Coturnix japonica: one gene and its partner. The protein of the gene in region 2 binds, or shares a complex with, the protein of the main gene of each other region. Links are inferred from orthologs where the notes say so. Each region holds a gene or a part of one and is shown on either strand. Other genes may lie near its edges.

Region 1 (4,113 bases), on a different chromosome or scaffold from region 2:
TACAGTGGGGCTGGCCCAGGGGATGAGGAGCTGGGAAGAGCATTTCACAAGATGGCTGAGACCTTGCCAATACCCCTCACTGCCTTGGCTGGGCTTCGTGCTGGTGAGGAAACCTCCAGCCCCAAAGGGGAAAGCAAATCCCTTTGTTGTGTAACACCACCAGTGCTGCCAGCCTTCTCCTTTAGGAAGCCATCTCCATCTGGGGATGCTCTTGGGGAGGAGAGCAGCACGGCCCCCTGCTCCACTCCCTGGACCATTGGGCAGACTTTATCTTCCATCCCCACAATATCTGTGTGTTGTGTAGGGCAGAAAGAGTATCAGGAAGGCAAATGAAAAGAGAATCATGGAATCATTTGGGTTGGAAGGGACCCCAAAGTTCATCTGGTCCAACTGCCCTGCAATGAATGGCAACAGCTACAGCTCAGTCAGGTTCTCAGAGCCCTGTCCAGCCTGACCTAGAGTGTTTCCAGGGATGGGGCACCCACCATCTCTCTGGGCAACTTGTGTCAGTGCCTCACCACTCTCATTTGTTAAGAACTTCTTCCTTATACCAAATCTAAATCTCCCATCTTTTGGTTTGAAACCATTTCCCCTTGTCCTATCACAACAGTCCCTGCTAATGAGTCTGTCTCCTTCTATCTTATAGCCCCCCTTTAGAAGGGAGACAGATGCTGTGAGGTGTGTGGAGAGGCCCTCTTTTCTAGGCTAGTGAAAACCACTGCTTTAAACTGACATTAGTTTCCTTCTGTTGTGGCTGTTGAAAATGAGGTTAGTCTGATCTGTGGCGGCTGTACAGCTCTGATCCACTGTGTGGAGCCAAACCAGTGCCTTTGGAGCAGCTCTGTGGTTACGTGGCTCCCCGCAGCTTACATTACAGGGCTAAGACGGTGTTAATGAAAGGTTTCTCCCACTGATCAGCTGAAAATGTTTTTATTGCTTTTATTGCACCCAGTGCTGCTCACACACGTTGTCTGCAGACCCTTCACCGTCTTTGTTGCTCACTTTTGGATGCCCTATGACACAGTGATGTCTGTCTTATGTTGTGGCATAAGACCCAGTGCAGGAGGAGAGGCCGTGCAGCTCAGAGCAGTGGGACAAGCCCTCCCCTCCATCCAGCTGGAGGCATCCAGGCTGTGACTGGCCTCTGGGGGCTCCAGGGCACACTAGGAGTTCAGTCTAAACTAGGAGTTCAGTCCAACAGGACGGCTCCAAACGAGCCCTACGTGCTCTCAGAGCCCGGGATCCGCTGCCCCAAAAGCGGTGCCTCCCCGTTCCGCCGTGCAGTGCAGTGAGTCAGCCACGAAGCACGGCACCAACAGCCCGAGCTCTCGCAGTGCGGACAGCCCTCCCGTAGCGATGCCAGCGGCGCCGGGGCAGGATAGGCGGCACGGGGGGCTCCGCACGGACAGATGCCATCCTCGGACACGTGCGGGGCTTTGCTTCCCTGCAACCCCACGAGGGATTTTTGGTCGGGATGGGCCTCGCCGTTCCCCTCCCACGACCCGCGGGGTGCGACACGCCCGGGGCGGCCCCGTGACGGAGAGGCGTGTCTGCGGGGCGGCGGGGCGATGGCGGGGATGGCGGCGGCGCTGGCGAAGGAGCGAGCGGCGGCGGCGGGTGCGGGGCGGCACGAGCAGGCGGTGCCGTACCTGGGGCAGAACTTCGGGGCGCTGCGCAGGGAGTGCCTGCAGGACGGCCGCCTCTTCCAGGACCCCTCCTTCCCCGCCTGCCCCGCCGCTCTCGGTTATCGCGAGCTGGGGCCCAACTCGTACAAAACGAAGGGCGTCGTCTGGCTTAGACCTACGGTAGGTGCCCAGCTCGGGGTGCCCGAGATGCGCGGTGCACTCCGGCTCCATCCCCGCCGTTGTGTCTCTCTCGGCTCCCTCCTCCTCCTCTCGTAACTCGGGCTCGTTCTGTTCCAGGAGCTGTGTTCCTCCCCCCGGTTCATCTCCGGCGGAGCCACGCGCACCGACATCTGCCAAGGAGCGCTGGGTAAGCGCTGCGCCGTGCGGGTTCGCACTGTGCTGTACCCTCCCTTTCCCATCGTTTCGCCCCGTGTCATGTTGGAGCAGGAAGGATGCGGGCAGGTTTTCCATTTCCCGATTGCTGCCTGCCTTTGTGCGCTCCTCAGCCTGACTCACGGTTGCCGTTAGCAGCACGGCAGCGCATAAAGGATGTGCATGTTTTGGAGCGGGCCCAGAGGAGGATGCTCAGAGAACTGGAGCCCCGTTGCCATAGCTGAGCAGTCAGATGTTCTCCTCAGGTTATGTGGTACCTCCAAAGAGTATGAACTGAGTCACAGCCTGTATTCCTTTCCCTACCGAAACAATATTTGAATAGGAGGCTGTTAGCATTCAGGTTTGTTCTCAGCATGACTAACTGCTGCTGTGACTGGCCTCCCTATCTTCTTACCAATCTGTGTGAGGGAGTTGTCTTCTCTGTATCTTACTGATGAACTAATTCAATGCTATGGGGTTTTCCTCTGTAGCCGCTGAGTTACTAAGACCCTGCTTTGAATCTATGTTCTTTCTCACAGATGTTCTATGTAAATGCTTCTTTTCTTTGCTTTTGCCTCTTCTGACACTCAGCTTTGCACTGAGAGATTTACCTAAGCTTCCATTTACTTGAACTTCACTTGCTAACACTGATGTCACATCATGTTTTGTGAGGTTCCAAAGAACATTGCACTAGAATACATCAGGTGCTCTTGGAAATCTGCATTTTATATTACTGTATTGCTGTTTGTCCATAGAAAACTAGTGGCCTATTTATCACCCAAAAAGCTTGATCAGAAAGCAACAGGCCTGTGCCCACGCAGAGTTTTACAACTGGTGCTCACCCATTTGGAGTATCTTAGAGTACGTATCCAAAGCACATGCACCTGTCACTGCTGGGACACACTTCTTGGCATGAATCTCTAGCACAGAAAAGCTCACTGGGTTCTCAGGACAACAAAGCTCTTCCCTTTTGGCTTTGGGTTAGCCATTATTCTGCTTTACAATTGTTATTCAGAAGCTTTTTAGGACAAGTATTCAGAATCAATTTTGCAGTATCAGGTCTGCAGTTAATTATGGGCTTTGGTCCAGAGCTGCAGCAAATGGGATGTGGTGATTCATCACAGCAGAAGAACCAAAGCAAATACAGAGGAAGTTATTCACCCTTAACCACATTCTTTGGAGGGATGTCACCATGGTATCACAACACTGAGGTGTACAGGGCGCAGTATCTTTTATACGCTGTTTAATCACAGATGTATCCTCCTTGAATACAGAGTTGTGGAAAAGTGATAAAGTGAGTAGGATGAATGTAGAAAATGAGATGCATGGTTTTCCCACGCTGAAAACCACTCTGTTATGAGTGAGTTGGCACAGCCTCTTGTCTCCAACCAGAAAATTTCTGGGGGGGTCCCACATTATTAATATAAATACATTCAGCCACTGACATAGTTGGTTAGCCCAGCCTGGCTGTCAGCCCTTTCAAATATTCCCTATACAGAACCTATACAAGCCTGAGATGCCAGACCTGCTTTGTGCACATCTGCAAAGCCTTGCAGGGAGGGGGGATGTGTGTCAGCACTGCTCAGATGGGCAGGCTGTGGGCAGTCCAGCAGGGATGGAAAGGGAAGGGTGGGTGCTCTGTGGGACAGCGAGCTTCCTGCACACCCCTGCCACCATGACCAGCTTCTGAGAGAGAATCTTTGTTTTACTGTGTTGGTTTAGTTGGCTGCTTATAAAGTCTGGAAATGAAAGCTCACATACGGCCAAACCAAATGTACAGTCCTACAGATAAACTCAGTCTTTTGACTCTGTGATCAATGATAGGTTATTTGGCCTATGTGCTGATGCCTGATAACCCACCAGCCTGTGATTTTTGCACGTCTCATGCCTGATGCTAGTGTTAAGGGTGCTTTGAGATTGTTTGTTAGAAATTAAACATGACCCTAGTGGTCTTTTCCTACCATAATGATTCTATGATTCTCCTAAGGAGGAGTTCTGAAATGCCATTTCTTCCTATGGGTTGCAGGAGTCAGGGGGTCGCTGGGTCCTTACATCTGTAACCACTTAGTTAATGAGCTTAACTGGAAAGTGACCACTCTGTTAAAACAACATTTGT
Region 2 (4,061 bases):
AATCAACCTTCATCAGCTCCCTTTTGCTTTGCATTTCCAAGTGCCGAGTCTTCAGATTTAAATAAATTAATCAATTTGCTTAACAAGAAACTCAACTGAGCTTTCCTGGGATGGTATGCATGCCTCACTCTTCTATGTCCCCATGTGGGTGAGAGAGGTTGCTTTTGTTTTGGGCATTCTACTCTTTTTCTTGCTCACTTTTCTTACAGTGACAAAGAAATGTATGCACACGGTAACAACATACCCATACCAATGGCTGAAGCAGCTCCAGCTATGTCACAAAAAGAGCCAGCACACACTTTCAGTTAGTTAAACTTAAAACGTAACTTATTTTCAACTCTTTCCTGTTTAAATCAAATTGGCCGCAAATATTTTTCACTAAAGACAAAACAAACAAAACCACTCACAATCACAACATCTGGGGGAAAAAAAAAAACACCCAGTAAAAGTATCATTAACAAGAAAGTTTATCATCTTCAATTTGTTCCGTACGCACAAAAACATCTCGACGCTATTGCTTCAGCACATTTACCTTCAGATTCAAAATACTAATAACAGAATGTACGACTGCATCCTCAGCTTACACTTGTAAAAATCAGACTTCATCTGAAACTCCTGCTCCTTGACATTCTTTCTAAATCTCAGGAGTTCCACTAGCAGCAGCAGGCCCTCAGTTCAAATATGCTGCATTTCAGCAGTCAGCAACAACATTCAGTAACTGGGTAAGAAGGGAAGTCTGCCTGCAACAGCCTCATCTTAAGTCAACTAACTGCATTGCTGCTGATGATGATGAAGACAAACATTTTATACTGACAGGAATCTGACCATCATATTTCAGTCGAAATTGAGAAAAAGACAGAGATTTTTGATGCTGCTCAAAGAACTGACAGATAAAAGACGCGTCAAGGAAGTGCAGAGAGAGCATAGGTGAAAGCCAGATTCTTCTTACAGCCCTTGCATTATGCTTTGCGCACATATCCTAGGGAAACAGCAACAACAAAAACCATCACCTAACACAAAAAACACCGAATCTCTCATGCCTGTTCCTTTCTTCCTTCTCTCCTGCTGCACTCCCTCATCTATTAGACCGTGATGCCCTCCAGGAAGAAACTGCCCCAGTAAATGATAGATGTTCACATGGATGGCGAGGACACTGGTCTTGCACAAAGGCCAGTAGAGATGTGCTGGTGCCAGTAACTGCAGAGATTGCTTTCCAACAGAGTTCAAGAGGAGTGGTTTCCCTCTGTGAATGCGGGCAACGAGGTGGTCTTAGTATCTTTCCCAACCCTGGATTCAATGGCCCAGGACTACAGGGCCATCATCACTTAGTGCAACAGTTCTCAAACTTTCTTATTTCTGACTCTGCATTATCGTCACCATGCCGTATCACTGGCTTAATACAACAAATTACTTCCAAAAACACCACTAATCCATCATCTGAGCTATTCTGAGCAATGGAAAGTGCAATTAGAAATCGAGGGAATCCCATATACCTCAGCAATTATTCAGGAAATATGTTAAATCAGTCATTTCTCTGAAAGACGCCTCTCCTCTTACAAAGTTTCTCTAAAACTTTAACAGAGGGCAGGCTCCCTCTCGCCACTCCTCTGAAAGACTTTTCAGCTTCCTGCTATGACTAATAATTCAGACGACTTCTAAGCAATTACAGGTCCTGTCAGACTAATGAGCATTAACCAAGCTGAGCTGAACCACAGAGAGCCATGAGAGCTGAGGTTTACTCAGAGACTGTTCAGCGAGACAAAACTATTCCTGGCAGCTCCACGACCCACCTGCAGTTAAACACACGTTTCCAAAAACAGGCACAACGCAGGATTTTCACCCAAAGCAGAAACAAACCCCCGCAAGCTCTGCCTTACACTGCGTATCACCAATTGCTGAGTTCTGATCGAATGGCACAGTTTAGTCACTTCTAGAGCTTGCATTATTCAGAGCATCACGAAAACAGCCGTCAGCACAAAACGAGCCCACGTCCCAGCATCGCTTAAACAAAGAACACAGCAGAATTTCGGAGCTACATCCAGAAAACGCCAGGCTTTCACAGGACCTGACGCACAACAACACGAGCACGTGAAGAGCGCCCATCCGCCGCCCATCACTCCCACCTCCCCGCTCATTCGTGTCACAGCCGGGCGACCCCGCCCGCAGCCGCTGTGCGGAGCCCTCCGCAATCCGTAGCCGCAGCCCCGCATTTCACATTTACCGTGGCATACCACCAGCGTGCAAAAGCCATGGTGCTGCTCGCTGCTCCGCACTGCACGGCACGGCAATACAGGGCACACAGACGCACGGGCCGCGCCCCAGCAGCCACCTCCCTTCGGGGGCGGCACCCGCCAAGGGAGCGGCCAGAACCGCGCCCCAGCCGCCCCCGAGACCCGCATCGGGCGGGGCTGCGGTCCGGGCAGGAGGTCGGGGTTGGCCGAGGGGGTGGGGGGGGGGGGGCTCACGCTGCCGCTCGGCAGCTCCTCTGCATTGCAGCTGGAGGGTCGGGGTCCATCAGTGCAGCTGCCGTGCCCCCCGCCCGCCTCACACCGCGTTCGCGTCGCTCCCTGCCCACCTTACCGCGGCGGGGCCAGGGGGGCCCGAGCCCGGCTGGGACATGGCGCACGGAGCGGCTGCGGGCGGGGGGCGACCGGCGGCGGTGAGGAGCGAGGAACGCTGCCGAGCCGCGCAGCCAGTCCCTCCTCTTCCTGCCGGGCCGGGGGGGGCCGAGGGGACCGGGGCAGGGCGTCCCAGCTCGTTCTTCCAATGCAGGAGCGGCTTGCATTGTGTGGCTGTTGTCAAGGTTTGGGGGCGGGAGGGGGAAGTGTCGACACTTTCCAACTTTCGAGTGGAGTTACTGACAGTTTCACTGCTGTCTCCCCCCGTGGAAGGCCTATTTTCCGCAGCCTTTTGGCAAGGCTTGTGGATTCCGACAGACCTGAGCGCAAAACTGCTCGTCCCGTGGCCTCAGCCCGGGACTGATACGTGACCCGCAGCGCTAAGGCTCCCGTCAGTAGCACTCACTGGATATGTGGTCAGAAAGCTTTCCAAATATCCCGACCTGTGGAGTCCTCACAGAACTGAGCTCCTGACTGACAACAGTAATGACAGCTCTTCCAAAATACTGCAGAGGTTGTCGTGGTCACACAGAGCTGCTGGAAGTTGAATCATGACTGAGTAACCACGATCAAAACAGATATTCTCTGTAATAAGGCTAATAAGAGCAGCACTGGTTTCTGGACACGTACGTGTGTACTGAGGTCACATACACCAACAGGAGGAACAAGAAGTTTTCAGGGAATGCTCCTTCCCTTACCAGCCACACTCCCTGAGGCAGGAGGACAAAGTCCTTCCCAGCCACAGATCAAAGCCAGCCGCTGGGAAGCAGCCCCAGTTGATGCTGTTGGATGGGTGGGTGTATGCGAGGCCTCAGAATGGCTTCAGCCTCCAGGAGAGAAGCTGGGTAGGTCAGGCACATCCCCTGCCTGAGGCATTCCCTGCTCTTCCTGCACTTGGTGCACTCATCACTGGCCTTTGAAGTGATTCAATAGCACGTACGGGTTTTGCTTTCCACTCTGCCTAAAATTTTAAGCACGAGTTCACTGTGGTGGGAAGAACAGCACAGAGTCGTTCAGCTGCAGGCAGAAGGCCTGTCTGACGCAGCACTCCACGTAGGCAACTTTGTGTGCTTCACCCCTTCTATTGCCACATGCCTTGTGACAGCAACTGAAGCCGTCAGTGACTGAAATCCTGGAGTTACACAGAAATGAGGCAGTAATACAGGAAAAGCTTCATGCTGATCAGCATCCTGCAGAGTGCTGAGGGTTCTGCTGATCCACCACAAGGTCAATTTTAAGTTCTCTGGTGGGAAGTTAGGCATGAGGCACGAGGTTTGAAATGACCCTCAGAAATCCTGTTCAGGTGTACCATGTGTACCTACACAGAAGGACATATTCCAGAAGAACTCATCCTGCATCACTCCGTGCATAACATGGTAGCCCTGCCTGGCCTAGAAGGCGTGGTGGATGCCCTCCAGCATGGGATAGCTGCAGGGAGGAGCA

Evidence for each region.
Region 1: the proteins of CAST (region 2) and CAPN2 are in contact, whole or in part, in a crystal structure (PDB 3BOW), measured with the Rattus norvegicus proteins. The link is inferred for Coturnix japonica from reciprocal best matches to the Homo sapiens genes CAST and CAPN2. Residues at the interface, in NP_445747.2 of Rattus norvegicus: Glu571, Leu572, Asp573, Ala575, Leu576, Asp577, Glu578, Leu579, Ser580, Ser582, Leu583, Gly584, Gln585, Arg586, Gln587, Pro588, Leu596, Asp597, Asp598, Lys599, Val600, Lys601, Glu602, Lys603, Ile604, Lys605, Ala606, Glu607, His608, Ser609; in NP_058812.1 of Rattus norvegicus: Glu62, Leu63, Ser68, Lys69, Gln99, Gly100, Ala101, Leu102, Gly103, Trp106, Lys161, Asp162, Leu165, Leu166, His169, Ser196, Gly197, Gly198, Thr200, Ser241, Asp243, Ile244, Thr245, Asp249, Ser250, Glu251, Ala252, Val253, Val259, Lys260.

The regions. Positions count from the first base shown.
Region 1 is NC_029518.1:15,399,702-15,403,814, reverse strand, and holds the start of CAPN2 (calpain-2 catalytic subunit), read left to right. Parts: upstream 1-1,313; 5' UTR 1,314-1,409; coding exon 1,410-1,805; intron 1,806-1,922; coding exon 1,923-1,992; intron 1,993-4,113. UniProt on the Homo sapiens protein: Calcium-regulated non-lysosomal thiol-protease which catalyzes limited proteolysis of substrates involved in cytoskeletal remodeling and signal transduction. Proteolytically cleaves MYOC at 'Arg-226'.
Region 2 is NC_029547.1:50,813,075-50,817,135, forward strand, and holds the start of CAST (calpastatin), read right to left. Parts: upstream 2,801-4,061; 5' UTR 2,786-2,800; coding exon 2,576-2,785; intron 2,445-2,575; exon of another isoform or gene 2,252-2,444; coding exon of another isoform or gene 2,222-2,251; intron 1-2,221.